7 linked regions of the Callithrix jacchus genome follow. The protein of the gene in region 1 purifies or fractionates together with the protein of each later gene. This does not show direct contact. Links are inferred from orthologs where the notes say so. Each region holds a gene or a part of one and is shown on either strand. Other genes may lie near its edges.

Evidence for each region.
Region 2: the proteins of PRPF19 (region 1) and U2AF2 purify together in Homo sapiens (affinity purification with western blotting; 3 studies listed by BioGRID, with this or other methods). This does not show direct contact. The link is inferred for Callithrix jacchus from reciprocal best matches to the Homo sapiens genes PRPF19 and U2AF2.
Region 3: the proteins of PRPF19 (region 1) and SF3A1 fractionate together in Homo sapiens (co-fractionation; 3 studies listed by BioGRID and IntAct, with this or other methods). This does not show direct contact. The link is inferred for Callithrix jacchus from reciprocal best matches to the Homo sapiens genes PRPF19 and SF3A1.
Region 4: the proteins of PRPF19 (region 1) and SNRPA fractionate together in Homo sapiens (co-fractionation; 3 studies listed by BioGRID and IntAct, with this or other methods). This does not show direct contact. The link is inferred for Callithrix jacchus from reciprocal best matches to the Homo sapiens genes PRPF19 and SNRPA.
Region 5: the proteins of PRPF19 (region 1) and CWC15 purify together in Homo sapiens (co-immunoprecipitation; 4 studies listed by BioGRID and IntAct, with this or other methods). This does not show direct contact. The link is inferred for Callithrix jacchus from reciprocal best matches to the Homo sapiens genes PRPF19 and CWC15.
Region 6: the proteins of PRPF19 (region 1) and PRPF3 fractionate together in Homo sapiens (co-fractionation; 3 studies listed by BioGRID, with this or other methods). This does not show direct contact. The link is inferred for Callithrix jacchus from reciprocal best matches to the Homo sapiens genes PRPF19 and PRPF3.
Region 7: the proteins of PRPF19 (region 1) and SNRNP200 purify together in Homo sapiens (affinity purification with mass spectrometry; 3 studies listed by BioGRID and IntAct, counting the BioPlex papers as one, with this or other methods). This does not show direct contact. The link is inferred for Callithrix jacchus from reciprocal best matches to the Homo sapiens genes PRPF19 and SNRNP200.

The regions. Positions count from the first base shown.
Region 1 is NC_133511.1:117,920,557-117,924,056, reverse strand, and holds part of PRPF19 (pre-mRNA-processing factor 19), read left to right. Parts: intron 1-625; coding exon 626-781; intron 782-1,037; coding exon 1,038-1,107; intron 1,108-1,340; coding exon 1,341-1,426; intron 1,427-1,701; coding exon 1,702-1,872; intron 1,873-2,008; coding exon 2,009-2,114; intron 2,115-3,500. UniProt on the Homo sapiens protein: Ubiquitin-protein ligase which is a core component of several complexes mainly involved pre-mRNA splicing and DNA repair. Required for pre-mRNA splicing as component of the spliceosome.
Region 2 is NC_133523.1:48,521,816-48,525,315, forward strand, and holds part of U2AF2 (splicing factor U2AF 65 kDa subunit), read left to right. Parts: intron 1-2,351; coding exon 2,352-2,487; intron 2,488-3,318; coding exon 3,319-3,363; intron 3,364-3,500. UniProt on the Homo sapiens protein: Plays a role in pre-mRNA splicing and 3'-end processing. By recruiting PRPF19 and the PRP19C/Prp19 complex/NTC/Nineteen complex to the RNA polymerase II C-terminal domain (CTD), and thereby pre-mRNA, may couple transcription to splicing.
Region 3 is NC_133502.1:200,941,207-200,944,706, reverse strand, and holds part of SF3A1 (splicing factor 3A subunit 1), read left to right. Parts: intron 1-1,549; coding exon 1,550-1,624; intron 1,625-2,076; coding exon 2,077-2,227; intron 2,228-2,541; coding exon 2,542-2,735; intron 2,736-3,500. UniProt on the Homo sapiens protein: Component of the 17S U2 SnRNP complex of the spliceosome, a large ribonucleoprotein complex that removes introns from transcribed pre-mRNAs.
Region 4 is NC_133523.1:36,300,154-36,303,653, forward strand, and holds part of SNRPA (U1 small nuclear ribonucleoprotein A), read left to right. Parts: intron 1-866; coding exon 867-1,046; intron 1,047-3,500. UniProt on the Homo sapiens protein: Component of the spliceosomal U1 snRNP, which is essential for recognition of the pre-mRNA 5' splice-site and the subsequent assembly of the spliceosome. U1 snRNP is the first snRNP to interact with pre-mRNA.
Region 5 is NC_133511.1:45,351,680-45,355,636, forward strand, and holds the start of CWC15 (spliceosome-associated protein CWC15 homolog), read left to right. Parts: upstream 1-1,157; 5' UTR 1,158-1,265; intron 1,266-2,530; 5' UTR 2,531-2,538; coding exon 2,539-2,669; intron 2,670-3,521; coding exon 3,522-3,634; intron 3,635-3,938; coding exon 3,939-3,957. UniProt on the Homo sapiens protein: Involved in pre-mRNA splicing as component of the spliceosome. Component of the PRP19-CDC5L complex that forms an integral part of the spliceosome and is required for activating pre-mRNA splicing.
Region 6 is NC_133519.1:10,267,563-10,271,062, forward strand, and holds part of PRPF3 (U4/U6 small nuclear ribonucleoprotein Prp3), read left to right. Parts: intron 1-1,861; coding exon 1,862-2,005; intron 2,006-2,872; coding exon 2,873-2,972; intron 2,973-3,144; coding exon 3,145-3,258; intron 3,259-3,500. UniProt on the Homo sapiens protein: Plays a role in pre-mRNA splicing as component of the U4/U6-U5 tri-snRNP complex that is involved in spliceosome assembly, and as component of the precatalytic spliceosome (spliceosome B complex).
Region 7 is NC_133515.1:6,132,103-6,135,602, reverse strand, and holds part of SNRNP200 (U5 small nuclear ribonucleoprotein 200 kDa helicase), read left to right. Parts: coding exon 1-194; intron 195-612; coding exon 613-765; intron 766-875; coding exon 876-956; intron 957-1,243; coding exon 1,244-1,327; intron 1,328-2,013; coding exon 2,014-2,120; intron 2,121-2,444; coding exon 2,445-2,563; intron 2,564-2,890; coding exon 2,891-3,045; intron 3,046-3,172; coding exon 3,173-3,362; intron 3,363-3,500. UniProt on the Homo sapiens protein: Catalyzes the ATP-dependent unwinding of U4/U6 RNA duplices, an essential step in the assembly of a catalytically active spliceosome. Plays a role in pre-mRNA splicing as a core component of precatalytic, catalytic and postcatalytic spliceosomal complexes.

The sequences.
Region 1 (3,500 bases):
GATGTCAATAGTTATGTCTCATGAAATTGTATTGCTAAAAAAGATGGTAGTTATTTTTACCTCATGGTTTTTAATGTCCTAACTAAACAAAAAAATCGGTAAGTGACACGAAATTCTCTCCCTGCCCAAGTTTTTTGGAAAATTAACTTACGGTGGAAATCCATAAATGTGGGATGTGCTGAAATACCACTGTGCAGCCCCTTACAGTCCCAGTACTGCTCAGACCTGTGCCATGCAGTACAGTACCAGTTAGGTACATGTGGCTATTTAAATTTCAATGAAATAGAATAAAAAATTTAAACCCTCAATGGTACTAGCTACATGTTTCCTCCTCTGGTCCTGGAAATGGGGTGGGAAAATCGCTCTATGTTGCAGTTAGCCTTTTTACCACTAGATGGCGAGGCCTCCTACACAAGTCCTGATGCTGTATGAGTTACCATTTTAATAGCGTTTACCACTGGCTGTCTTGGGCACCATTGGGTGGGTAGGTGGTTCCAGGGAGGGCAGGGCTGAAAGGAGAAGCAGTTGTTGGTAGTTGTGGGCATCCCCAGCCCCCTTTTATAAGATTGTTAGGATCTATATCCTTTTTCTGACTGATACTCTCTGATATTTGTTTTCCTTTTAGGACCTGGTGTTTTCTGCTTCCCCCGATGCCACTATTAGGATTTGGTCGGTCCCCAATGCGTCTTGTGTACAGGTGGTTCGGGCCCATGAGAGTGCTGTGACCGGCCTCAGCCTTCATGCCACTGGTGACTATCTCCTGAGCTCCTCCGATGATCAGGTGCGGTCCCAGCCAGTGCCCTGGAGAGGCCTGCTGGTCCCCAAGCTTGAACATCCTGGGTGGCAGGAACATCTTCCCACCCCAGGTGGTTCCCCAGAACCTCAAAGGGGAATGTTTCCTCTGCTGGGAGGTGCTAGGTTTGCCAGGGTTTGCGAAACCAGGGGCTCTGCCTTCCTGAAGGGCCACCAAAGCCTAGGACCCACTCTCTCTCTGACTCCATCGTCTCTCTCTCTCTCTCTCTTTTTTTTTTTTCCAGTACTGGGCTTTCTCTGACATCCAAACAGGGCGTGTGCTTACCAAGGTGACAGATGAGACCTCCGGCTGCTGTAAGTTGCCTTGTAGACACTCAGCTTTTTGTTTGCTGTTTATCATTTATTTTTATGTTTTATTTAGTCATTTGCTTATTTGTTCTAAAGATACATTTACCACCAGCACCTGTCTAGTGCCAGGCTTTGTCCTGGGTGCACTGACGAATGTGAAGAACAAGGAACCTACCTTTGCTGCTCTTAGTCTCTCCCTGGTGGGCTCTAATCACAGGTCTGTCTTCCCTCTTCCACAGCTCTCACCTGTGCACAGTTCCACCCTGACGGACTCATCTTTGGAACGGGAACCATGGACTCTCAGATCAAGATCTGGGACTTGAAGGTAGGAGAACATGGTAGGCCTCCATCTGAGGCCCCGGGCTGGAGGGAGCGTCTGTGACAGTGCAGTGCTGATTGGGTGCTTGTGGCACCTGGCCTTGAGGGTGGAGAGACACTGGCTGTGCATGTGTGATATGATGGTGTGGTCTGGGTGGCATCCTGCTGGCTGTCCTTCCTGGAAGGACAGTGGTGGACATCTCAGGTAGGAGTTTGCTGAGCCCCATTTTCTTCCTCTCGTGATGTATGGGTGACATATTTTACTCCCCACCGCCACTGTAGGAACGAACCAATGTGGCCAACTTCCCTGGCCACTCGGGCCCCATCACCAGCATTGCCTTCTCTGAGAATGGTTACTACCTGGCGACAGCGGCTGATGACTCCTCTGTTAAGCTTTGGGATCTGCGCAAGCTTAAGAACTTTAAGACGTTGCAGCTGGATAGCAACTTCGAGGTGTGCCCCTCTCCCTCCCCAGCTTCCCATTGTGCCTCCTTATTTGTTGATTATTGAATTAATCTCATTGCTTCTGCTTATCTGCAATTGCCCCATAGTTTCTGTTCCCCTCGTGTGACCTTTCTGTTTCTAACAGGTAAAGTCACTGATCTTTGACCAGAGTGGTACCTACCTGGCCCTTGGGGGCACGGATGTCCAGATCTACATCTGCAAACAATGGACGGAGATTCTTCACTTTACAGGTAGAGGCTGGTCTCTAGGTGCCCAGGCCTGGAGGGAAGCCTCACTGGGTTAGGAATCTCTAAGGCTTGCATGAATTTACCTAAGCAGCTTTCGGTTACCACCTAAGGCAGAGCTTTATAGCTAAGGAAGCAGACTGAGACTGCATGGCAGTAAATGCTAGTACCAGCTCTGCCACTTCCATGCCTTGTGGCATTGGGCAGGTTGCTGGAGGAAGAGAAGACTCCTCCCTCTGAAGGTTTGCTAACTGAATCTGAAATAAATGGACATTAGACAGAGTGACAGGAGGAAAGCCATTTTAATTCTCTGTGCACGAGAGTCCCACAAAACATTAGACTTGCAGAGGGTCAGATGATTGAAGATCATACAGTCACATCCCTTAATGGGGATATGTTCTGAGAAATATCTTGTTAGGCCATTTCGCCATGTGCAACCATTATAGCGTGTACTTACACATACCTAGTGGTGTGGCCTACTACACACCAAGGCTAGTGCTATAACCTTAGTAGAGTCTATTATTGCTCCTAGGCTACAAACCTGTACAGTGTATTAAATGTACTGAATACAGTTATAACACAATGGTAAGTATTTGTGTATCTAAACAGATCTAAACATAGAAAAGGTTCAGTTAAAAATAAGGTATGAGAGATTGTTAAAAAATGGTGCACTGGGAAATGGTGCTTGCCATGAATGGAGCTTGCAGGACTGGAAGTGGCTTTCAGTGAGTGAGTGGTGAGTGAATGTGAAGGCCTAGGACATTACCATACACTGACTGCTGTAGACTTTGTAAACACAGTACACTTCGGTTCTACTAAGTTTATAAAACGCTTTTTCTTCAGTAATAAATTAGCCTTAGCTAACTTTTTTACTTTATAAACTTAAAAAATTGACTCTTGTAACAACATTTAGCTTAAAGCAAACATTGTACAGCTGTACAAAAATATTGTCTCTCTTTACATCCTTGTTCTATAAGCTTTTTTCTGTTTTCTAATATTTTTACTTTTTAATTTTTTCCTGTTAAAAACTAAGATACAAGCACACATTAGCCTAGGCCTACGGGTCAGGAACACCAGCTGTATTAGTCCGTTCTCACACTGTTATGAAGAACTGCCTGAGACTGGGTAATTTATAAGGGCGAGAGGCTTAATGACTCACAGTGACTGGGGAGGCCTCAGGAAGCTTCCAATCATGGTAGAAGGGAAAGCAGCAGCGGGAGAGACAAATGCTGAGCAAAGGGGGTAAAGTCCCTTATAAAATCATCAGATCTCTTGAGAACTCAGTATCCTGAGAGCAGCATGGGAGTAACCACCTCCACAATTCAATTACTTCCCACCGGGTTCCTCCCACAACATGTCGGGATTATGGGCACTACAATTCAACGTGAGCTT
Region 2 (3,500 bases), on another chromosome or scaffold:
GCATGGTTTTATGTTGTTGGTAAGTAGAAAAACAGGTACTGATTTTGAGCTCTGGCTGGCTGCAAAGCCACGTTCCTCTATGCTGACCACCAAGTCGAGCTGATTGGTCCGTTCTTTGAGGCCCTTAGATGGCACCGTACTGGTTCTCCTGTGGTTTCTCCTCTGATGCTGGGAGGCCAGTGCCTGGACCTGGCGTGGTTCCTGGGTTGGCGGAGCTGCTCCCATAAGATGACCACAATACAATGTTTTCAGCAAACGAAACTCCCTTTCTGTTTTTACCTGTCCAGCATCAGTGTGTGGGAGAGGGTTCTTGCCGTAGGGGAAGCTCTGCCCGCGCACACGTATCATTCTGGCTGTGGGTCTTTGTCTCTTTGGAGGACGGGCCAGCTTCTGTACCTGCCCGCTTCTGCTTCAGCGCCTTCCTCTGCTCGCTGTGTCTACAGGGAATTTCCTTGTCTATGTCCCAGGCACCCAGCCAGGCGTCACTGCTTTCTGTGCGTGTGTTCCTTTCTGCCTGCTGCCTGTTTCAGAGCCTTAGCAGCAGGAAGGGCTCCTGGGGCTCACAGCCTGTCCATCTTTCAAGTGTGGAGCCAGCGCTGTGCCCGCTGCCATGCCTGTGTGCTTACTCCGCTGCTGGCTTGTCCTGCTGATTGTTCCCCCCCGTTTCTGTCTTTGATTTTGGGGTTTTGGGCCTTCAAGCCGACAATTGCATTGTCATTAGTGGTTCTAGCCAGAATGTCCTGCCTGATCCGAATTCAGGAGCATGGCCTCATGCTGAACTTGATGGCTTTACAGAGTTGAAATTCCGGCTTCACCATTTTCTAGCTGTTTGGCCTTGGGCAAGTTGTGGTCTCTCTGTACCTCAGTTTCCTTATCCATTATGTCAGCCCCCAGCAGTGTTTTTCTGAAGCAGTAGTGAGGATTAAGTACAAACAGAACTTTTTTTTTTTTTTTTTTGAGACAGAATTTTACTCTTGTTACCCGGGCTGGAGTGCAGTGGCGCGATCTCGGCTCACCACAACCTCTGCCTCCTGGGTTCAGGCAGTTCTCCTGCCTCAACCTCCCAAGTAGCTGGGATTACAGGCATGCGTCACCATGCCCAGCTAATTTTTTGCAAACAGAACTATTTAATACAGATTTCCGTCGTAAGAAGCATCACATTATTTGTTACTGTTTTTTTCCCCCCGCTGGGTGCATATTTTTCTGAGTGTTGGTGGTTTTGGAATTGTGATGCTTTTCCCAACATTCATCTGGTGTCAGAATAACAAAATGCTGGGTGAGGCTGAAGTTTAACATTCTCCCTCTGTGCCTTTTCCCCCCTCTGGCCCCAGGGATCATCACTCTAGGTGATGCTTGTTAACATGTATGAGCACCTTAACATGTGCATCTTGTGTGTGTGTGTGTTTCATGGATAGTTGAGAAATCTGGGTATCTCTGAATTCAGGGAATTCTAAGTGGTGCTTATGAACACCCCCAGCTCATGGTTTATCCTCCATCTTGAAGGGTTGGTCTTCAGGAGTTGAAGGGTCTGGTGGAAGCAGAGGTTTCTGTGGTTTTGCCAGTGAGGCTCTGTTTCTAGTGGCCACCTTGGAGGAAAATAGGACGTCTGGAGGCTGGCGGAGATACACACCCGTACTCTACAACCTCTCCAGTACTTGGCTTTGAAGGGAGCGAGGCAGGGAGAGTCAGGTGGTTTGGGGTGAAAGTCTGGGTAGGGCAAGCTCCTCCCCTGACCTGCTGAAGCAGAGGAGGGCTCTGTACCCTCCATCTGCAGCTGCTTCAAGGCCCTTCACTCCCCGGGGGAAGCGTGCTTGCTTCTGCATTATTCACCAGGTTGGGAAGGGATGGGTTGAGTTTCCCTGCTTCCTGGGGATATCAAATCCTGCCTGGCACCTGACCTCTAGGCCTGATGATGGGGCTGTGGGTGCCAGCTGGTTGCAGAGGTCTTTCCTGAGGGGTCTCTGCGTCCCTTCAGGAAAACATCATTGGGTCTCTTGATTCCCCAGCCTCTAGCCCTGCCCCTCTCAGGGACGACCCTGGGGTCAGGCCCCTCAGCCCTCGAGGGGGACCAGGAGCCAGCCTCTGTCTTCTCTGGCTCCCCAGCTCCTCCTGAGCATCCTCAGGTATCTTACACCCCGGGGGCATTTCCAGGCCCGTCCCCCTGGTCCCCTCAGGGTCCCTGGACTCGCTTGTGGATCTAGGAGGCCTGTTAATTCCCTTCCTCCATCGAATCCCTTCCCTTTGGGGGGTGGCCTCCCTGGGGCTTGGGACATAGCCACCAGTGCGCAGGGTGGGCTGGGTCCACATCCTTACTCCGCTCATCGCATCCCCTTCCTCTCACCCTTGCCCAGAGCGGGACAAGGAGAATCGGCATAGGAAGCGCAGCCACAGCCGCTCTCGAAGCCGGGACCGCAAACGCCGCAGCCGGAGCAGAGACCGGCGCAACCGGGACCAGCGGAGCGCTTCCCGGGACAGGCGGCGCCGAAGGTACTAGGGCTCAGGGACCCCGGGCTGGGCCAGCCTGGGAGTCGGGTGGGGGGTGGGTGTTGGCCAGCCTGGGGGTGGCCCATTGATTCTGTATCTGGGCCCAGGCCTTCTGTGGCTCATCTTTCTTTGTGTGGATCTGGGGGAGGGATCTACTGCTTGGTCTGTCTTGAATTCCGATTTTTCCCCCGTTTCTGGGGTTTCTTTCATTTCCTCTATTGGGGGTTGCTGGTGGGTTGCTGGGAGCAATAGGTTCTTTCTCTGGGGCCATGGAATTGATTCTGTGTTTTCCTTTGCAAGGGGCTGTTCTCTGTCTCTGACTCTGACTGCCTGTTTCTTCTTGTCAACTCTCTGGGGCTCTCTGTGGGACTCTATTCGAGGGGGTTGGTCTCTGCCTCCAGTTTCTTTCTTCCCTGCCTCCTTGGAGAAGGGAGCTCCTGGGAGTGAGGCAGTGTACACAGCCTGGGCTTCTTTTCTGGCCCAGGGGTGTTGGTTTCCACCGCCTTTTTCTCTCTAGGCTCCCGTCTCTGTTCTCTGCCCCTTAGGTGAGGAAGGGCAGGATAGGCAGAGTTCTCCTGCCTTCTCCCAGCAGTTTCTCCAGCTAGAGACTGGTCCTTCCTGGCCCCTGGCCCCTGTCTCCTTTCCTCACTTCCTCTTTCCTGGGGGTGGGAGTGTTTGGGGGGAAATGGCAGGGCCGAGGGGGGCCTGCTTGCTGCTTGTTCACCTCGGCCCTGCTCCCATCCTGGGGCTCAGTGCCCTTGGGGGGGTGTGGCATGTGGGGAAGACGAGGGTCCCCAGTCACCCCTCCCCATACCTTTCCCTCCCACCCCCCAGCAAACCTTTGACCAGAGGCGCTAAAGAGGAGCACGGTGGATTGATGTGAGCTTCTCTTCCTGCCCCTTCCTCCCTGATGTCCACTCCCTTCACCTTCCTCACGCCCGCCTACCCTGCCCTGTCCGCTTCCAGCCCTGGCCCAAGCACTGGGAAGAGTCCACTTGCCTTGAAACCAGCACCCC
Region 3 (3,500 bases), on another chromosome or scaffold:
AATAAATAAATAAAAAAGAATCTGGACAATTCAGTTCTGGCATTTAAAATAATCAGAATATAGGCCAGATGTGATGGCTCTCGCCTGTAATCCCAGCTCTTTGGGAGGCCAAGGCGGGCGAATCACCTGAGGTCAGGAGTTCGAGACCACCCTGACCAACATGGAGAAATCCCGTCTCTACTAAAAATATAAAATTAGCCAGGCATGGTGCTACATGCTGATAATCCCACTTACTTGGGAGGCTGAGGCAGGAGAATGGCTTGAACCACCCAGGAGAGGAGGTTGTGGTGAGCCGAGATCACACGATTGCACTCCAGCCTGGACAAGAGTGAAACTCCTTCTCAAAAAAAAAAAAAAAAGGCGATTTTTAATTTATTGCAGAGTGTGCTGGTATAGCTTTTCCTGTGGCATATTTTTCTTGCTACATACATCGTAGAGGTTGTTTTTCTTCCCTTTTCAGTGGGATGGTCTGTACATCTGTTCTTGATGTCCAGAAACAACACCTCAAATATCTGACTTGATAGGATTTCCTAACTTTACTCACTCTAAGTATATAATTAGGAAAAATTGTAAAAATGTGTGTGTTTAGAAAATGACAAATCCAGAAGATAGTATGGTAGCTAAAATAACAATCACTGAAGGTCCAAGGCCAAAGGGTTACTTTAAATATACAATATCAATTTTAAGTGAGCACTGGATTAATTTCTCCCAGTGGACTGCTTCCAGGGTTAAAGGTCCCATATTATTTTTTATTCTGTTACATTCCTATTTTTTTTCTTCTTCAGAATTTGGGTATTGGCATTTACCACTCTAACTTGAGAGTACTAGTGTCTGTTTCTAGCCATGGAAGACTCTGAGCAGATAGATTCTTGGGGTAGAGGTACAAGGAGAATTGGAATAGGGCTGAGCCACTTTGCCAGTGGCAGTAGAAGCTGTTGGGGCTGTTTAGAACAAAGGTTGCATTTGTTCTCTCAGTAAAAAAAATATCGTCAGACATTATTCAGGGTGCTAGAGATGTAATCATGAACAAAAGAGAGAAATCCCTGTCTTCGTGGAGTGTCTAGTCTAGTGAGAAGTCAAGTGCAATGTTAGTGTCTGTCAGATCGTGCTAAATACTGTGGAGAGAAAGAAAGCAGGAGGCAGAAATAGAGGTGGGGCAGGTAGGCTATGGTTCAGAATAGGATAGTCAGGGGAGACCTGCGTAGTATTTTCAAAGGGATAAGAGCAGGTCAGTCTCATGAAAGCAGCTGTCTCATACTGACCATGTTCTAGGTAATCTGCTAGTGCTTTGCGTGCTTTCCTGCTAATCCTTAAAGTAGCCTTTTCAAGTTCATGGTGCCAGCTTTGGTGGTGCCACTATTTTGGAGAAGGAAATCAAGTTACTGAGGTTAAGTAACTTGCCCCAAGTCCCACAGCCAAGTAGAACTGGAATTGGGACACAGAATCCCATGCTTCTCATCTCCTGTGCTTTATCACAGGCCCAGGAAGGTTGCCTCTTTGTCCCGCCTTATAAAGCACTGACAATTGCTTTAACTCTTCTGTATTTCAGATCTTGATTCCACCCAAAGGTTTATTTACAAAGCTCAAGAAAGAGGCTGAAAACCCTCGAGAAGTTTTGGATCAGGTAAACTGAACTGGATTTCTTGCAGCTAGTTACTGATGGTGGGTTCTGTTTTATGTTTGAACATAGACTCTGCAGCAGTACCTTGTTATGTTCCAGTCACGGGAATGGTGGGGAAACAGGCCTGGCTGGCTACAAAGTCCAAAGAAACCTGGAGTCCACATGCTTCCCAACGTATCACAACTTTCTGCTTTGCTCTCAGCCTCAATATGTCTCCTTCTTTTTTACTCTAGCTAGAAGGCAGAAGGCCAGCTCCCAAGCCAGTCACAGGGTGGAATTTCCATTCTGTCCAAACTCGGTGTGGGTGGAACCAGGTGCAAATACCATAGTTTGGAACCATAGTTCCATTCTGTTTTGAAGGAGGCGCTGGCTTTGCTGAAAGCACTGAAGGTGGTGGCCTCATCGGGAGCAGACCCTGCTTCAGCTTAGCACCGAGCTCTTTCCCATCCCTGCAGGTGTGTTACCGAGTAGAATGGGCCAAATTCCAGGAACGTGAGAGGAAGAAGGAAGAAGAGGAGAAGGAGAAGGAACGGGTGGCCTATGCTCAGATCGACTGGCATGATTTTGTGGTGGTGGAAACAGTGGACTTCCAACCCAATGAGCAAGGTGGGTCTGTGAGGAGTAACACCAGATGGGAGCCAGGAATTCTGAGACTTCCTGGGAGACCTTGCGCAAGTGTTGCCAGAGAGCAGCAGAATCTCTCAGAGGACTTTATCAGTATCTGTTTCCTCTCTGCTCCCAGAAAACTTCATTTCTACCACTTTGCCCAAGATAGATTCAATACGTACTTGCCAGACCCTAGATGGGCCTCTGGAGATAGCTGGAGAGAAAACAGACATAGCTTCAGCCCTTGGAGAGCTCAGACAGGGCTAATAGATGGGTCTTTGATAAGGAATGCCTTTGCCTCTGGCTCCCTCTAGGGAATTTCCCACCCCCCACCACGCCAGAGGAGCTGGGGGCCCGAATTCTCATTCAGGAGCGATATGAGAAGTTTGGGGAGAGTGAGGAAGTTGAAATGGAGGTCGAGTCTGATGAGGAGGATGAGAAACAGGAGAAGACAGAGGAGCCTCCTTCCCAGCTGGATCAGGACACCCAAGTGCAAGATATGGATGAGGTAAGCTGCTGGGTGGGCCTGTGGGATGACCTTTCTCCCTGAAGACCCTGGAGATAGAAGTACTCTCCACCAGTCAGATCCAACTCCATTGTGAACCTTGAAAGGAGGCGTGGGTCCTGAACAAGGCAGTACAGCTGCTCAAGCCCAGGCCACACAGAGCCTCTTTCCAGCTCCAGCAACAAAGATTCATTCATAGGCAAGGATCTAAAAGCTGTGTCGACCTGTTCTGTGGCCGCCTTCCTGGCTTGGACACTCTGCTCTCACTGCCTCATGCCAGCCCTCAGCTAGGGAACTCTCTGCATGACCCTATTCTGTTTTGATCTCTCAGCTGGGCTCCAAGCTCCCAGAACTCTTGTAAATGTAGCCCACACTTCCTTTCAGGCATCCCTGCCCCCTTCGAGCCAAGCAGGCATGGAGTCTCCAGAACCAGACTGTTCTCCCCAGCTCGGAAAGAATTTGTGCACAGCCTGAGAAGAAAGGGCCCCTGTGTCTGTGGGAATTGACTTTTTCTCTCCCTCCCAGCATTGCTGTCTGAGCGGCTACCATTGATTGCCGACTCCCCCCTCCACTGCCCCCCACCAGCATGTTAAGTGCCCTTGGCCTCTTGGGACTGCCTGGTGCCAGCTGCTGGAAGTGCCTGGGAGGAGTGCTAGGACCATGGCCCCAGCGCTCCCATTCATACTATGAGGAAGCCACTTGGCCTGCTGCCGGCTGGCCTCAGCTGCCCTGGGAGGCTTAGCACATGGATGCTGCCTGGCAGAGGCC
Region 4 (3,500 bases), on another chromosome or scaffold:
CAGGGTGTGGGTGTGGGTGTGTGAAATGTTATAGGAGACTGGGTGGGCCTGGAGTAGAGGAGGGGATATGAGGGTTAATTGGCCAAGGTGAGGCTGGACCAAGCTCCACTGCACCTTGCCTCATTTCAATAACAAATTTTTGTTTGGCTGGGCACCGTGGCTCATGCCTGTAATTCCAGCACTTTTTTGGGGGGGGTGGGGGGATGTTGTTTTGCTATTGTTGCCCAGGCTGGAGTGCAATGGCATGATCTCGGCTCACTGCAACCTTCACTTCCCAAGTTCAAGTGATTCTCCTGCCTCAGCCTTCCAAGTAGCTGGGATTACAGGTGTGTGCCATCACACCTGGCTAATTTTTTTAATTTTTAGTTCAGAGAGGGTTTCTCCAAGTTGGTTAGTTTGGTCTTGATTACAGGTATGTGCCACCATACCTGGCTAATTTTTTTTTATTTTTAGTAGAGACAGGGTTTCTCCATGTTAGTCAGGCTGGTCTTGAACTCCCGACCTCAGGTGATCCGCCTGCACCTCAGCCTGTCAAAGTGTTACCGTTGTGAGCCACCATTGCCTGGCTTTTTTTTTTTTTGAGACAGTCTTGCTCTGTTGCCCAGGCTGGAGTGCAGTGGTGTGATCTCGGCTCACTGCAACCTCCTGGGTTCAAGTTATTCTCCTACCTCAGTCTCCTGAGTAGCTGGGAATACAGGTGTATACCACCATGCCCAGCTAATTTTTGTATTTTGGATGGAAATGGGATTTTGCCATGTTGGTCAAACTGGTCTCGACCTCCTGGCCCCTGATAAGGTCCAATTTTGAATCTTGGCAATTGGGCTCTGAATCCATGCCCTTAACCCATTCTGCTCTCTGTTTGGTAGCGTATCCAGTATGCCAAGACCGACTCAGATATCATTGCCAAGATGAAAGGCACCTTTGTGGAGCGGGATCGCAAGCGGGAGAAGAGAAAGCCCAAGAGCCAGGAGACACCAGCTGCCAAGAAGGCTGTGCAGGGCGGGGCAGCTGCCCCCGTGGTGGGAGCTGTGCAGGGGCCTGTCCCGGTAAGCCAGGGCCAGCAGACCAACCCTCCTACTGACAGGCTTTCCTTAGCCACATGGACTGGCTTTGGGACAGGGTGGGGAGAGTTCTCCCCGTGGGGCTTCAGACCCCTCCTTTCCATTCCCTTATAGAGATTATGTGTCCGTCTCTCTTTGGGGGGTGTTGAGCCCCTAGATGATACTATCTCCACTCAGAACGCCTGTGTTGAGCCCCTAGATGATACTATCTCCACTCAGAACGCCTGTTCCCGTGTGACTGTTTCTCAGTGTCTTTCTTTCTTCCTGGCTACGTCTTGGTATCGCTGTCTCCTTGGCCTTGATTTTGTTGCCTGTGTCTTTTTGTTGTTGTTGAGATGGAGTCTCACTCTGTTGCCCAGGCTGTAGTGCAGTGGCGTGATCTCAGCTCACTGCAACCGCCACCTCAGGTTTAAGCAGTTCTCCTGCCTCAGGCTCCCAAGTAGCTGGGAGTACAGGCATGTGCCACCACACCTGACTAATTTTTATATTTTTAGTAGAGATGGGGTTTAACCGTATTGGCCAGGCTGGTCTTGAACTCCTGACCTCTTGATCTGCTCGCCTTGGCCTCCCAAAGTGCTGGGATTACAGGGATGAGCCATCATGCTCATCCTGTCTTTTAAGTCATTGTGCATGTAGAAAATCCAAGTATCTACTAAGCAACTGTTAAGATTGGTTTAGAAAGGTCACTGGGTATAAGGGCAATGTGGAAAAAATCAGTTTTATTACGTATTTATTAATTATTATTATTTTGAGACGGAGTTTCGGTCCTACTGCTCAAGCTGGAGTACAGTGGCATGATTTTGGCTCACTGCAACCTCAGCCTCCTAGGTTCAAGTGATTCTCCTGCCTCAGCCTCCCTAGTAAGTAAGTGGGACAACTGGTGGGTGCCACCATGCCATGCTAATTTTTTGTTTTTTTGTTTGTTTTTTTAGTAGAGACAGGGTTTCACCATGTTTGCCAGGCTGGTCTTGAACTCCTGGCCTCAAGTGATCTGCCCACCTCAGCTTCCCGAAGTGCTGGGATTACAGGCTTGAGCCACTGCACCTGGCCCTCACACAATGAAGTTTCTAGAAGAAAACAGGAAAATGTCTTCATGACCTTGGTGAGGGCATGAAAAGTGGAAACATCCTGTTTTCTAAACAGAATACAAAGAGCACTAAGTACAAAAGAAAAGATGGACAAGGCCGGGCATGGTGGCTCACACTTGTAATCCCAGCACTTTGGGAGGCCGAGGCGGTTGGATCACGAGGTCAGGAGTTCAAGACCAGCCTGGCCGACACAGTGAAACCCCATCTCTACTAAAAATACAAAAATTAACTGGCATGATGGCAGGCACCTGTAATCCCAGCTACTTGGGAGGGTGAAGCAGGAGAATTGCTTGAACCCAGGAGGTGGGGGTTGCAGTGAGCCAAGATCACACCACTGCACTCCAGCCTGGACAACAAAGCAAGACTCTGTCTCAAAAAAAAAAAAAGAAAGAAAGAAAGAAAAGATAGACGAACCGGGCCCACTCCTTGGGTCTCTGATCCTCTGTGTCTCTCTGGCTTTTGTCTGTGGCTCTGGCTCTGACTGAGTTGTGCTCTGTTCACTGCCACTCACACTTTCTCCACGTCACCTATGGCGTCCGATTACTGTGGGCTCCTGTTGTTAACCTCTCTCTGCAGTCTTCACTGCACGCAGCTTTCTGTCCACTTTCCACTTCAGATTGTGACTCCAGCCCCTGTCTGTGCTGCCTGCCATCTGCGGTCTTCCCTCTTCCCCTGGCTGCCATGCGTTTCGTTCTGCACCTGCCCTGAGTGTCCCTTGCCATCTCTGCCCTCATTTGTATTTGTTTATATTTTTTGGGACAGATTCTTACTCTGTCGCCCAGGCTGGAGGGCAGTGGTACAGTCTGGGCTCACTGCAACTTCTCCCAGGTTCAAGCAGTTCTCCTCCCTCAGCCTCTCTAGTAGCTGGGATTACAGGTGCCTACCACCAGACCCAGCTAAAATTTGTATTTTTAGTAGGGAGCGGGTAGCACCGTGTTGCCCAGGCTGGTCTCAAACTGCTGGGATCATAGGTGTGAGCCCCCGCGCCCGGCCTACCACACGTTTCTTCCTGCCCCTTCCCTGACTGCCCCTTTCCATCTCCGCCCCTTCCCCGACTGCCCCTTTCCATCTCCGCCCCTTCCCCGACTGCCCCTTTCCATCTCCGCCCCTTCCCCGACTGCCCCTTTCCATCTCCGCCCCTTCCCCGACTGCCCCTTTCCATCTCTGCCCCTTCCCCGACTGCCCCTTTCCATCTCCGCCCCTTCCCCGACTGCCCCTTTCCATCTCCGCCCCTTCCCCGACTGCCCCTTTCCATCTCCGCCCCTTCCCCGACTGCCCCTTTCCATCTCCGCCCCTTCCCCGACTGTACCTTTCCATCTCCGCCCCTTCCCCGACTGCCCCTTTCCATCTC
Region 5 (3,957 bases), about 73 Mb from region 1:
TGAACTGTATGTGAAGAGTGAAGGTAAAAAAATTTAAATAGGCACTCTGGGATTTTGGTTTGAGTAACTAATATGATGACCTTTACTGAGATGTTTAACACTGGAGGAGGGATATCTTTGGTAAGAAAAATCAAGATTTTCATCTTGAACTTTACGAGTGAAAAGGCTTTTTCTGCTTTTTTTTTTTCCCCTTCATTTAAAAGTTGCAAAGAATTTAGGGATAAGAAAGCATTTAAATTTTCAATTTTGTGAGCTCCTTACATTTTAAACTAAGTTGGGGACGTTGAATTTCCATTTAACAAGTATTTATTGAGTAACTACTATACGTCAAGGTCTACGTGATGATATACCAAGATGAACTAAGCATTCAAGACCTCTGTTCTCAGATTGACTTATTTTTTTATGGAAGGGAGGTGAGACGATTGGTGGGTTTTTTGGTTTTTGGGTTTTCTCCTTTTCGTTGTCTTATTAAAACTTAACACTTGAGTAGCCATCTTAATAACTACACTGTGCTTCTGGCAGTTGGGCCCACCGTTCTAAACGCTGTCGTAAATACTGACATCTCCCCTCCCACAAGAACTAACGTTTTTTAAATAAAAAAATTTTAGCAAACATTACGCATACAACCTTTGCTTTGAAGTGTAATATTTTTGCAGGAATGGTACCTTTATAAAGATCGTGGTTGCCCCGTACTTATTTGTTCTTTCTTCATATCCAATTAAATGAAAACACTAGTTTTTCCGAAGCCCAACTCTCTAGGCTTGTTGGTTCTAGCTCAGGATGGAAGCAGGAGTCGTTGGATTTAAACAGTTTGGTGTAATCCTTTTCCACGCTCTAACCCGCTAGCCGGGGACGTGGTGTCGGCTACCCGGGGCTTTCCGTCCACGCAGTACCGGAATGGAGTCTGGGAGGGGGTCGGGGACGGAAAAGACGGAAGAGACATTAAGTAATTGGTTCTTGAAGGTATAAAATGATGTTTAGGGTCTACTCTAAGGCACTGATTTCAAACGCCCGCCCCCTGGGCCGTTTAGGCCCCGCCCCTTATTGCCCTTACGCCAACTTCCACTTTGGCCTCTGCGGATTGGTTGTTATCTCCGCCTCAGAAGCGCTTGGGTTTTGCTTCCGGGTCATAGGCCTAGCCCTGAACGCAGAGGTTCCTGGGAGCCAAGCGTAGTAATGGCGTCTGTATGATATTCGGAGCCTGCTGCATCGGACCTCGGCCAATGTGAGTGACAGGAGGATAACAGATTATCTTCTTTATCCCGGTAGGACGGGAAAGGGCAGTTGGGATTGGAGTTGGTGGCAGAGTGCTGAGCGCGGGCGGCGGAGGCCCTGAAGCAGCTCGCTAGGGGCGGAACCGAGTGCCTGTCAGGCGCGTCCGGAGCTCTAGGCCTGCGGTTAAGATCGCAGCGTAAAGGCAGCTCGCCTACCGCTTAAAGCGAGCCTCAGGTCCACCCTTCACTACTCCTCGCATCCCTGTAGTGCTAGGCACGGGTGAAGAGGTAGCGAGTTTCTGGTTATAGCCAAAGACTAGCTCTCCGGAGGCCAGAGTGATAATTCTGTTGGCGTGTGGGAAGGCGCGGTGCCCCCAGAGCCAGATAATCCTGTTTCTTCTTTGAAGACATGCCTCTACCCTTTTCGGAAATCAAGAGAAATAGACCCCTGCCAAAAAAAAAAAAAACGAAAAAACAAATCCTCCCAATTCACCCACCCTCCCACACACTTTTCCGACACTTACAGCGTCTTAGTAACTAAATCTGTTAGACAGTATTCTTGTGATTGCGCCAAGCAGAAAATAAAGAATGTGTCCCTGGTTTTTGGTATTAGAATCCTCTGGGGCGAGGTTCTTGTTTTTTTGAACAGTCCTTAAATTATAACCCACAAGAGATCTGAGTTATAATATGATGCCTGTTGTAGAAGAAAATTGGATCAACAAAAGGTTGTTTAAGAATTTTTTTTCTATGTAACTGTCATTGAAGTTTAACACTTTTGCCTAGGGCACTTAATAACTTCGTCAGTGATTTTTTAAAAATTGTTTTTGGCTTTTGTTTCTGTTAGTCTATTTGCTATTGTGTGAAATTTAGATAAAATACAAACCTTAGAGAGTTTGGTGGAGTAAGGTTGAGCTGAGAATTTTTAAAACTCAGTCATGGCAGTACGGTATTTTATAAGGGTTTTGACATGTCAAGTGTCGTAATTCTTACAATAATCCTAGGAGGAATATCTCCATTCCGCTGATGACAGAAAGTTAAGCTAGGTGACTTCGTGAAGCCCACAGAGTCAGAAGAATAGGGATGCAAACTCAGATCTTCGTGACAGAATTTTTTGTACTAAGACATGTCTGGGAATCCATATTCCTTGTACTGCCTAAGCCTCATAATTTTTTTTCTTGAAAACTTTTGTTTAAGAAGATTAAGCAAGTTTTGGGGAATGAGTTTTAGAACTTATATCACCAGGATGGATATTGATTAATACTCTAAAATGAGAGTTCGTAATGTTGGAAATAACTTGATACTATTTTTCTTCAAAGCATAAAAGATGACAACTGCAGCCAGGCCAACCTTTGAACCTGCAAGGGGTGGAAGAGGAAAAGGAGAAGGTGATTTGAGCCAACTTTCAAAGCAGTATTCAAGCAGAGACCTACCTTCTCATACAAAGATAAAATACAGGTAATAAGACTTTTTTGTTGTCGTTCGCAAAACAAGACCAAATCTGTTAAATGACATGGTCATGATATAGTAGTATGTTTGAGTTATGTTACTTATTTATTTTCATAGACATAGAGTGCAACAGGATGTTTAACACTAAAATTTTGCTCTATGATTTTAAAATGCAAAATTCCTACTAACCAGGAATTTTCATATGTAGATAGAGCAATAAATAATATAAATAATAATGCCTCAGAGAGACTATGCACAATCAGCACCAGTCAATATATTAAAAATGTTACTGTTCTGAGTTGATATAATACTAATTACAGATATTTTAATCTGTGTAAAGCCGGCTGGGCGCAGTGGCTCACGCCTGTAATCCCAGCACTTTGGGAGGCCGAGGCGGGTGGATCACGAGGTCAAGAGATCGAGACCATCCTGGTCAACATGGTGAAACCCCGTCTATACTAAAAATACAAAAAATTAGCTGGGCATGGTGGTGTGTGCCTGTAATCCCAGCTACTCAGGAGGCTGAGGCAGGAGAATTGCCTGAACCCAGGAGGTGGAGGTTGCGGTGAGCCGAGATCGCGCCATTGCACTCCAGCCTGGGTAACAAGAGCGAAACTCCATCTCAAAAAAAAAAGAAAATCTGTATAAAGCCTTATCATGGGAAAATACTGAATTTGGATTTCTCGAAATATTGGGAACATCACAGGAGTGGCTGTTAGTAACCCTCAGATTAGCTTATGGTCTTGTCTATTTCCCTTTTTTATGCTTGAAGGACAAAGTCTCATTCTTGAATTGTCTTCCATTACTACAGTTGTGTGTGTGTGTAAGTAACATTTTTGCCCTGGCTCGTTTTTACTTTAGACAAACTACTCAGGATGCCCCTGAAGAGGTTCGTAACCGTGACTTCAGGAGAGAGTTGGAAGAAAGAGAGAGAGCTGCTGCAAGAGAGAAAAATAGGGATCGTCCAACCCGAGGTACCAACACTATCCCAGACATTTGTCTCATAAAATTATCTTTTTGATAGTTTTTCTTTCATGTAGCAACTGGAAAATGTTAACCATTTGTTTGCTTTTACACTTGATGTGAGTTATAATATTTAAGTCATTAGAGATGATAATAACAAATATTTACCAAAAGCATATTTGCCAGGCACTGTGGATATGATTTCTGTTGTCATAAATGCTTTTAATGTGGGCTCTTTGTACCCACAGGTCCCTAAAACATTGTAAGAAATGCAGTATTTGTTTTACTAAGTTAAATGATTTTTGTTTCCCCCAGAACATACAACCTCCTCTTC
Region 6 (3,500 bases), on another chromosome or scaffold:
CTTTTTTTAATTTTTTTTTTTTTCTGTAGACCTCCTCTGTGGGCAGTTTTCCTTTTTTCTTTTTGTAGCAAAGTTTTTGGCTTAGTTGTGGCTGTGTTTTTAACTAGCAGAATGCCTGGCCATGGATATGTCACTTTGAATATTGGGAATTTCCTCATTTGTAGAGATAATAACTGAAATGCATTCTTCAAGGCTTAGGCAAATCATAGGCTATTTTAACACTTGGGATAAACTAGGAGAAAATATCCTAATTGATAAATTTGCTTGACAGTATCTTTCAATAAGTTTAAAAAGTAGTTTGAGATCTTAATATAAATTATGACCAGGCCCGGTGGTAAATCCTTGTTTCTACAAAAAATGAGCTGGCAAGGTGGCATGCATGTGTAGTCCTAGCTACTTGGGAGGCTGATGGGGGGTGGATTGCATGAGCCTAGGAGGTAGAGATTGTATTAAGGTGTAAACATGCCTCTACTCCAGTTTGGGTGACAGAGAGAGACCCTGTCTCAAAAACAAAACAGACAATACAATTTGTAATAGTCACTGAAATTTACTTAACTAGATTCTACTTAGCGGTTATCAGTGTGAATCATTAGAAGAATGTGGAGTTTTTGTTTTTTGTTTTACTTATTTTTAAGTTTTTAATTTTTAATTTTTTTTTTTTTTATGATGGAGTCTTGCTCTGTTTCCCAGGCTGGAGTGCAGTGGTGCAATCTTGGCTCACTGCAACCTCCATCTCCCAGGTTCCAGCAATTCTTCTGCCTCAGCCTCCTGAGTAGTGGGACTACAGGCTTGAGTCATCATACCTAGCTAATTTTTATATTTTTAGTAGAAATGGGGTTTCATCATATTGGCTAGGCTGGTCTCAAATTCCTGAGGCCAGCCTAATTTTTTTTTTTTTTGAAACGGAGTTTCTCTCTTGTCACCCAGGCTGGAGTGTAATGGTGCAATCTGGGCTCACTGCAACCTCCACCCCCTGGGTTTAAGCGATTCTCCTGCCTCAGCCTACCAAGTAGTGGGATTATAGGTGCCTGCTACCACACCCAGCTAATTTTTGTATTTTTAGTAGAGGCAGGGTTTTGCTATGTTGGGCATGCTGGTCTTAAACTCCTGACTTCAAGTGATCCACCCACCTTGGCCTCTCAAAGTGTTGGGATTACAGGCGTGAGCCACAGCACCTGGCCCTAATTTTGTTTTCTATATTTGCCAGGTATCATTTGATGAAGGGATTTAATAACTTAAAGGAAAACAACTAAGAACACTACTTAAAGATAAGAATTTTTTTAAGAACATTGCCATAGTGCCTTGGCTTGAACTGATTTTAATCTTACTGATCTCTTATTAATTAATGAGTTTTCTTCATTCTCTAAAGTTTCAATTTTTTTTTTTTTTTTTTTTACATAAAATGTTTATAGTAGTCGGGTCTCACTTTGTTGTCCAGGCTGGTCTTGAACTCTTGGGCTCAAGCAATCCTCCCACCTTGGCCTACCAAAGTGCTAGAATTACAGGCATAGGCCACTGTGCCCAGCCTAATGTTTCTTTTAATGATATTGATATTTACCTTGGTCTCTTTAATACTATTATTGCTGGCTGGATTCAGTGGCTCATGCCTGGCCAACATGGTGAAACCCCGTCTCTACTAAAATACAAACATTAGCAAGGCATGGTGGCGTGTACAGGAGGCTGAGGCAGGAGATTCGCTTGAATCGGGGAGGCAGAGGCTGCAGTGAGCTGAGATCATGCCATTGCACTCCATCCTGGGCGACAGAGCAAGACTCCTTCTCAAAAAAAAAAAAAAAAATATATATATATATATGTATATATATTCTTACTGCTTTGGTATACTAATTTTTCTGCCTCACAGTTGACAATGATACACCAGTTACGCTGGGAGTATATCTTACCAAGAAGGAACAGAAAAAACTTCGGAGACAAACAAGGAGGGAAGCACAGAAAGAACTACAAGAAAAAGTCAGGCTGGGCCTAATGCCTCCTCCAGAACCCAAAGGTACATTTCTTAGTGGCCTCTGCCGCTAAAAAGGGTGGCAAGTTTATGTCTTTAATTCTAGAGGAACCTTAACATTTCTATATTTGGGTGATTTCTGTTTCTAAGAATCATTCTTGGAGTCTTTTTTCTCCAAGTTTTCTGCCATCTTTTCATATTAAGATAGGTCAACACATTCGTTATAGAGGCCATTTAAGGCTTATTTTTAAGCATACTGATTATATAAGCACTCTGGTTTTCCTGGAAGAATACAGGTCTTGAAATTCATTAAGATAGTAGTTGTAATATTTGTGTAGACTTTTATGTACATAATTCTTAATGTTTTAATTTTTGCAATGAAAGTATAGGATAAAAAACTTGCCCCTCAAAAAACAAAAACAAAAAAAATAAAGGGGTCCAAAGTGGCTCCCACTGGAGGTCGTGGTGCTTGCGAAGGTGAGCTCATGAGTTCAAGGCTAACCTGAGCAACCTTATAAGCTCAAACTGATTGGCAAAAATAAAAACTTGCCCCTGTAGTTACATACTCATTCAGCAATATTTTGAGTGAGTAACTGTTATGTATAAGCTCTTTTACCGGATGCTGTGATCAGTGTGAAAAATATGAAAGAAATTAAGTTCCACATCTATGAAGTTCCTTCATAAATTTTCAGGTAACATAAATGCATGCCAATTCTTCAACTTAATTGTGTGAACTTTCGCAAATGCTGAAGTGATTGGGTGGGATTTTCAAGGTAGGAGTTATTGGAGGAAGTGAGTTTAGAGCAGAGATTTGAAATAGGTAAATTGTATGAATTGGTATGGAAGAGATAACAAGTTACCCAGCTGCAGAAGTGACCTCAAAGATTGATTGCTGTCCTCTCTTCACTGCAGTGAGAATTTCTAATTTGATGCGAGTATTAGGAACAGAAGCTGTTCAAGACCCCACGAAGGTAGAAGCCCATGTCCGAGCTCAGATGGCAAAAAGGCAGAAGTAAGTGCCATGGGATTGGGTGGAAACCCCGGGCAAGTACCTTTCCCAAACTCTTCTGGGGGATCCACATTTGGAGGGAGGGGAGAGTCCTCCGTTGCTCTCTCTTTCCCTCAGCCCTGCCTCTGATCTTCAATGCCTTTCTCACTTGTGGATGTCCTTCCTGTCACGACAGAGCGCATGAAGAGGCCAACGCTGCCCGAAAGCTCACGGCAGAACAGAGAAAGGTCAAGAAAATTAAAAAGCTTAAAGAAGACATTTCACAGGGGGTACACATATCTGTATATAGGTAGGTGTCCATACTGGGCCAACCTTCCCCTTAGAATTACTAAAACATTTTCCAAGGGCTTGAGGCAGAATCACTGTGGCCTAAAAGCATATCTAATACCAGTTCCTCCTCTCTTTTAATGACCCTAGTCTGGATCAAGAGCTAGTAAATCTTTTATAAAAGTGAGGGTTAGTGACTTATGTTTATGGTTATCCAATTCTTCCGTCTCAAGTCTTTTTTTTACCAGGATGTTAGCTTTGAAA
Region 7 (3,500 bases), on another chromosome or scaffold:
CAGTGAACTGGCTAGGCTATGCCTACCTGTATATCCGAATGCTGCGATCCCCAACCCTCTATGGCATCTCTCATGATGACCTCAAGGGAGATCCCCTACTGGACCAGCGCCGACTAGATTTGGTTCACACGGCTGCTCTGATGCTGGACAAGAACAATCTGGTCAAGTATGACAAGAAGACAGGCAACTTCCAGGTGTGTGGTGGGTGAGGGTTTTGAGGCAAAGGTCTCGGCAAAAGTCAACCCAGGAGAAAATATGTCAGATTGCTCTTAGATAGAAGTGAGTACTGCCTATCTAATCGCTTGTTGCCTAGAACAGCGGAAAAATGGGTAGCTTTCCCCATAACTTGGGGTGGATAATTTAGCTGTCTTGTCTGTGCAGACACTATGGGTCAGCTTATTGTGCCATTTTTTTTCATGTGCCTGGGCCTGGCATTTGTACTGCTGTGAATTCATCTAATTGTCCTGTAAGGTCAATAACTTACAGGACATTGAGTTACATACTTTACAAAAAAACTGCACAAAAAACCTATAGGACAATAACTTATGGTCCACAGTTAGAGGTTGGAGCTCATTAATAGTCAGTACTGGATTGAGTCTACCTTCTCTCCAGGTGACAGAACTGGGCCGTATAGCCAGCCACTACTACATCACCAATGATACAGTGCAGACCTACAACCAGCTGCTGAAGCCCACCCTCAGTGAGATTGAGCTTTTCAGAGTCTTCTCATTGTCCTCTGAGTTCAAAAACATCACTGTGAGAGAGGTGAGCCTATGCAGCGTGTTGGGGGCGGGGAGTTGGTGCTCACCAAGTCACTGAATGGTTTCCCTCCTCGGCCTCTGGACTTTCCCTTGACGTTTTCCTCCTTGTGGCAGGAGGAGAAGCTAGAGCTGCAGAAGTTGCTAGAGAGGGTGCCTATCCCGGTAAAGGAGAGCATCGAGGAACCCAGCGCAAAGGTGAGCTCCTCTTTTTGCTTTGATCAGGATGAAGATTATATAGTTTTCATAATCTTCTAAAAGATGAACCTCGAATTTGAGTTCATGTGTGATACCCTCCTCAGTTCTCCTAGTTTTTGCAGCTTTCTTACATGTTCTTTTTATATGAAATAACAATTATTTAGTATTTGTAAGTCAAGAGCTATAGAAGATCTCACCTGGCATGAATGCTCAGAGCAGAAATGTACTTCCCTTTCTTGTACTGTTCAGTGATTGGTCTCCTGCTGGATGATTTTGCTTCTTTCCAGATCAATGTTCTTCTACAAGCCTTCATCTCGCAGCTGAAATTGGAGGGCTTTGCACTGATGGCCGACATGGTATATGTCACACAGGTGAGGGCAGAGTTGTATGGGAGCTGTGAGAAGGGGCCTGAACAGTTCAATCCCTGTGTGCTGTATGCATCCTGGGGAAAGGAGGCCTGACCCTAGTGAGATGGGAGGAATGCTTAGTTCTGTTCTTGGTAGTTGGTTGGTTGGTGCATGTGTGGTACAGCCACTCTGTAGTACCCATCTTGAGCACATGAGAAAGGTAAGGCCTTAAGAGGGAATGCTTTGAGACTCCACAGGCCCTCAGAGAGACAGGAAGAGCCACGGGACACAGTGTCTCCTTCTCAACAGAGAAGTGATTTCCCATTGTGGCTGCAGAACTCATAAATTCCAGAAATGGCACAGGGTTTTATTAGCTGCTCTTCATCTTTACCTCTAAGAACAGGTTACTGGTAACCCTTAACTCTTCGTAGAACTCTAAATGCTAAATGAGTCAAAAGCTCTAAAATCATGCAGTGAATGTTAGGTTAAAATGTGGTGCAGTGACCTTGAGCAGCACTTTTCTAATTGTTCCCCATTTGGTAAGCATCTACTATATGGAAGGGAGAAAGGTGTAAAAACAGAGGGGATTTGCCTTCAAGTTGGGGTGGGTCATTGCATCAGAGCTGGAGTAATGAAACCATGTGTAGAGTGGCTAATGAGGCCTGGGGATAGTCAAGACTTAGCAGTGGGAATGCTGTTTCTTTTCCTAGTCGGCTGGCCGGTTAATGCGAGCAATCTTTGAAATTGTCCTGAACCGAGGTTGGGCACAGCTTACAGACAAGACCCTGAACCTCTGCAAGATGATCGACAAACGCATGTAAGGGCCCAGTGAGCTGGATGTTGGTCACCATGAGTGAGTCCCCAACCCAAGGGTGTTTTGGGAAAGCCTCAGGGTGCATCTGATTTCCAGACCTGACATCTGAAATATGACCTGAACCTGGGTGCACATTGAGAAGAAGTAAGGCCCTCTGTGGTAGGGCTGGGGAGTATGAGAAAGGTGGAGGCCAGGGCTGGCACGGTGTCAACGTCCACCTTTAATGACTGTCTTGTGTGGTCACTGCTGAACTATTGGAGCCATGATGTGGGCAGTTTGTTGCATCCCTGCAGAAGGGACCAACAGCTTTGCCTCTTTCCTGGATAGGTGGCAGTCCATGTGTCCTCTGCGCCAGTTCCGGAAACTCCCTGAGGAAGTAGTGAAGAAGATTGAGAAGAAGAATTTCCCCTTTGAGCGTCTATACGACCTGAATCATAATGAGATCGGTGTGTGGGAAGCTCTCGCCCTTGTCCTCACTGCCTGGGGTCTTTCCCAGTCGGCCTACGTAGTCTTCCAGTTTCTAGGCCTTCTGCATTAGTATCCTTTGTTCAGTTTGTAGTCTTTGAGTTCCTAGGCCTTCTGCATTAGTATCCTGTGTTCAGTTCTCAAGTTCCACTGAAGTACAGGCTGGCCCTTGGACTGGGGACTTGGAATCCTGCACTCCACTGACAGTAAAGGGAAGACTATCCCTTTCCCACAGTGTCCCCTCAGGCCCAGTGTGCAGTATAGTAGGCAGGCTGGGCTGCAGCCTCAGTACTCTTATTTCCCCATAGGGGAGCTTATCCGCATGCCGAAGATGGGGAAGACCATCCACAAATATGTCCATCTTTTTCCCAAGTTGGAGTTGTCGGTTCACCTGCAGCCAATCACACGCTCCACCCTGAAGGTAGAGCTGACCATCACGCCAGACTTCCAGTGGGATGAAAAGGTGAGGCTTTGCAAGGCAGAGGAGCTGAATTGGAGGCACCAAGTCTATGTTGGTGGCAGAGGAGCTGGACTGGAGGTGCTCGGTCTATGTTGTCTCACATTCCTTTTACCTGTGCTCCTGTTGGCAGGTGCATGGATCATCAGAGGCTTTCTGGATTCTGGTGGAGGATGTGGACAGCGAGGTGATTCTGCACCATGAATATTTTCTCCTCAAGGCCAAGTATGCCCAGGACGAGCACCTCATCACGTTCTTCGTGCCTGTGTTTGAACCGCTGCCCCCTCAGTACTTCATCCGAGTGGTGTCTGACCGCTGGCTCTGTGAGTGTCTCCTCTCCAGAGTCCCCAGGAACAGTCCCTCCAAGAACAGTGGAATGTCTTGCAATTTGTCCTGGTCTTCTGGGATTGCCTTTGCCGGGGACAGAGTGATACATACGCTGCCTAGGTTGCCAGTGTTCA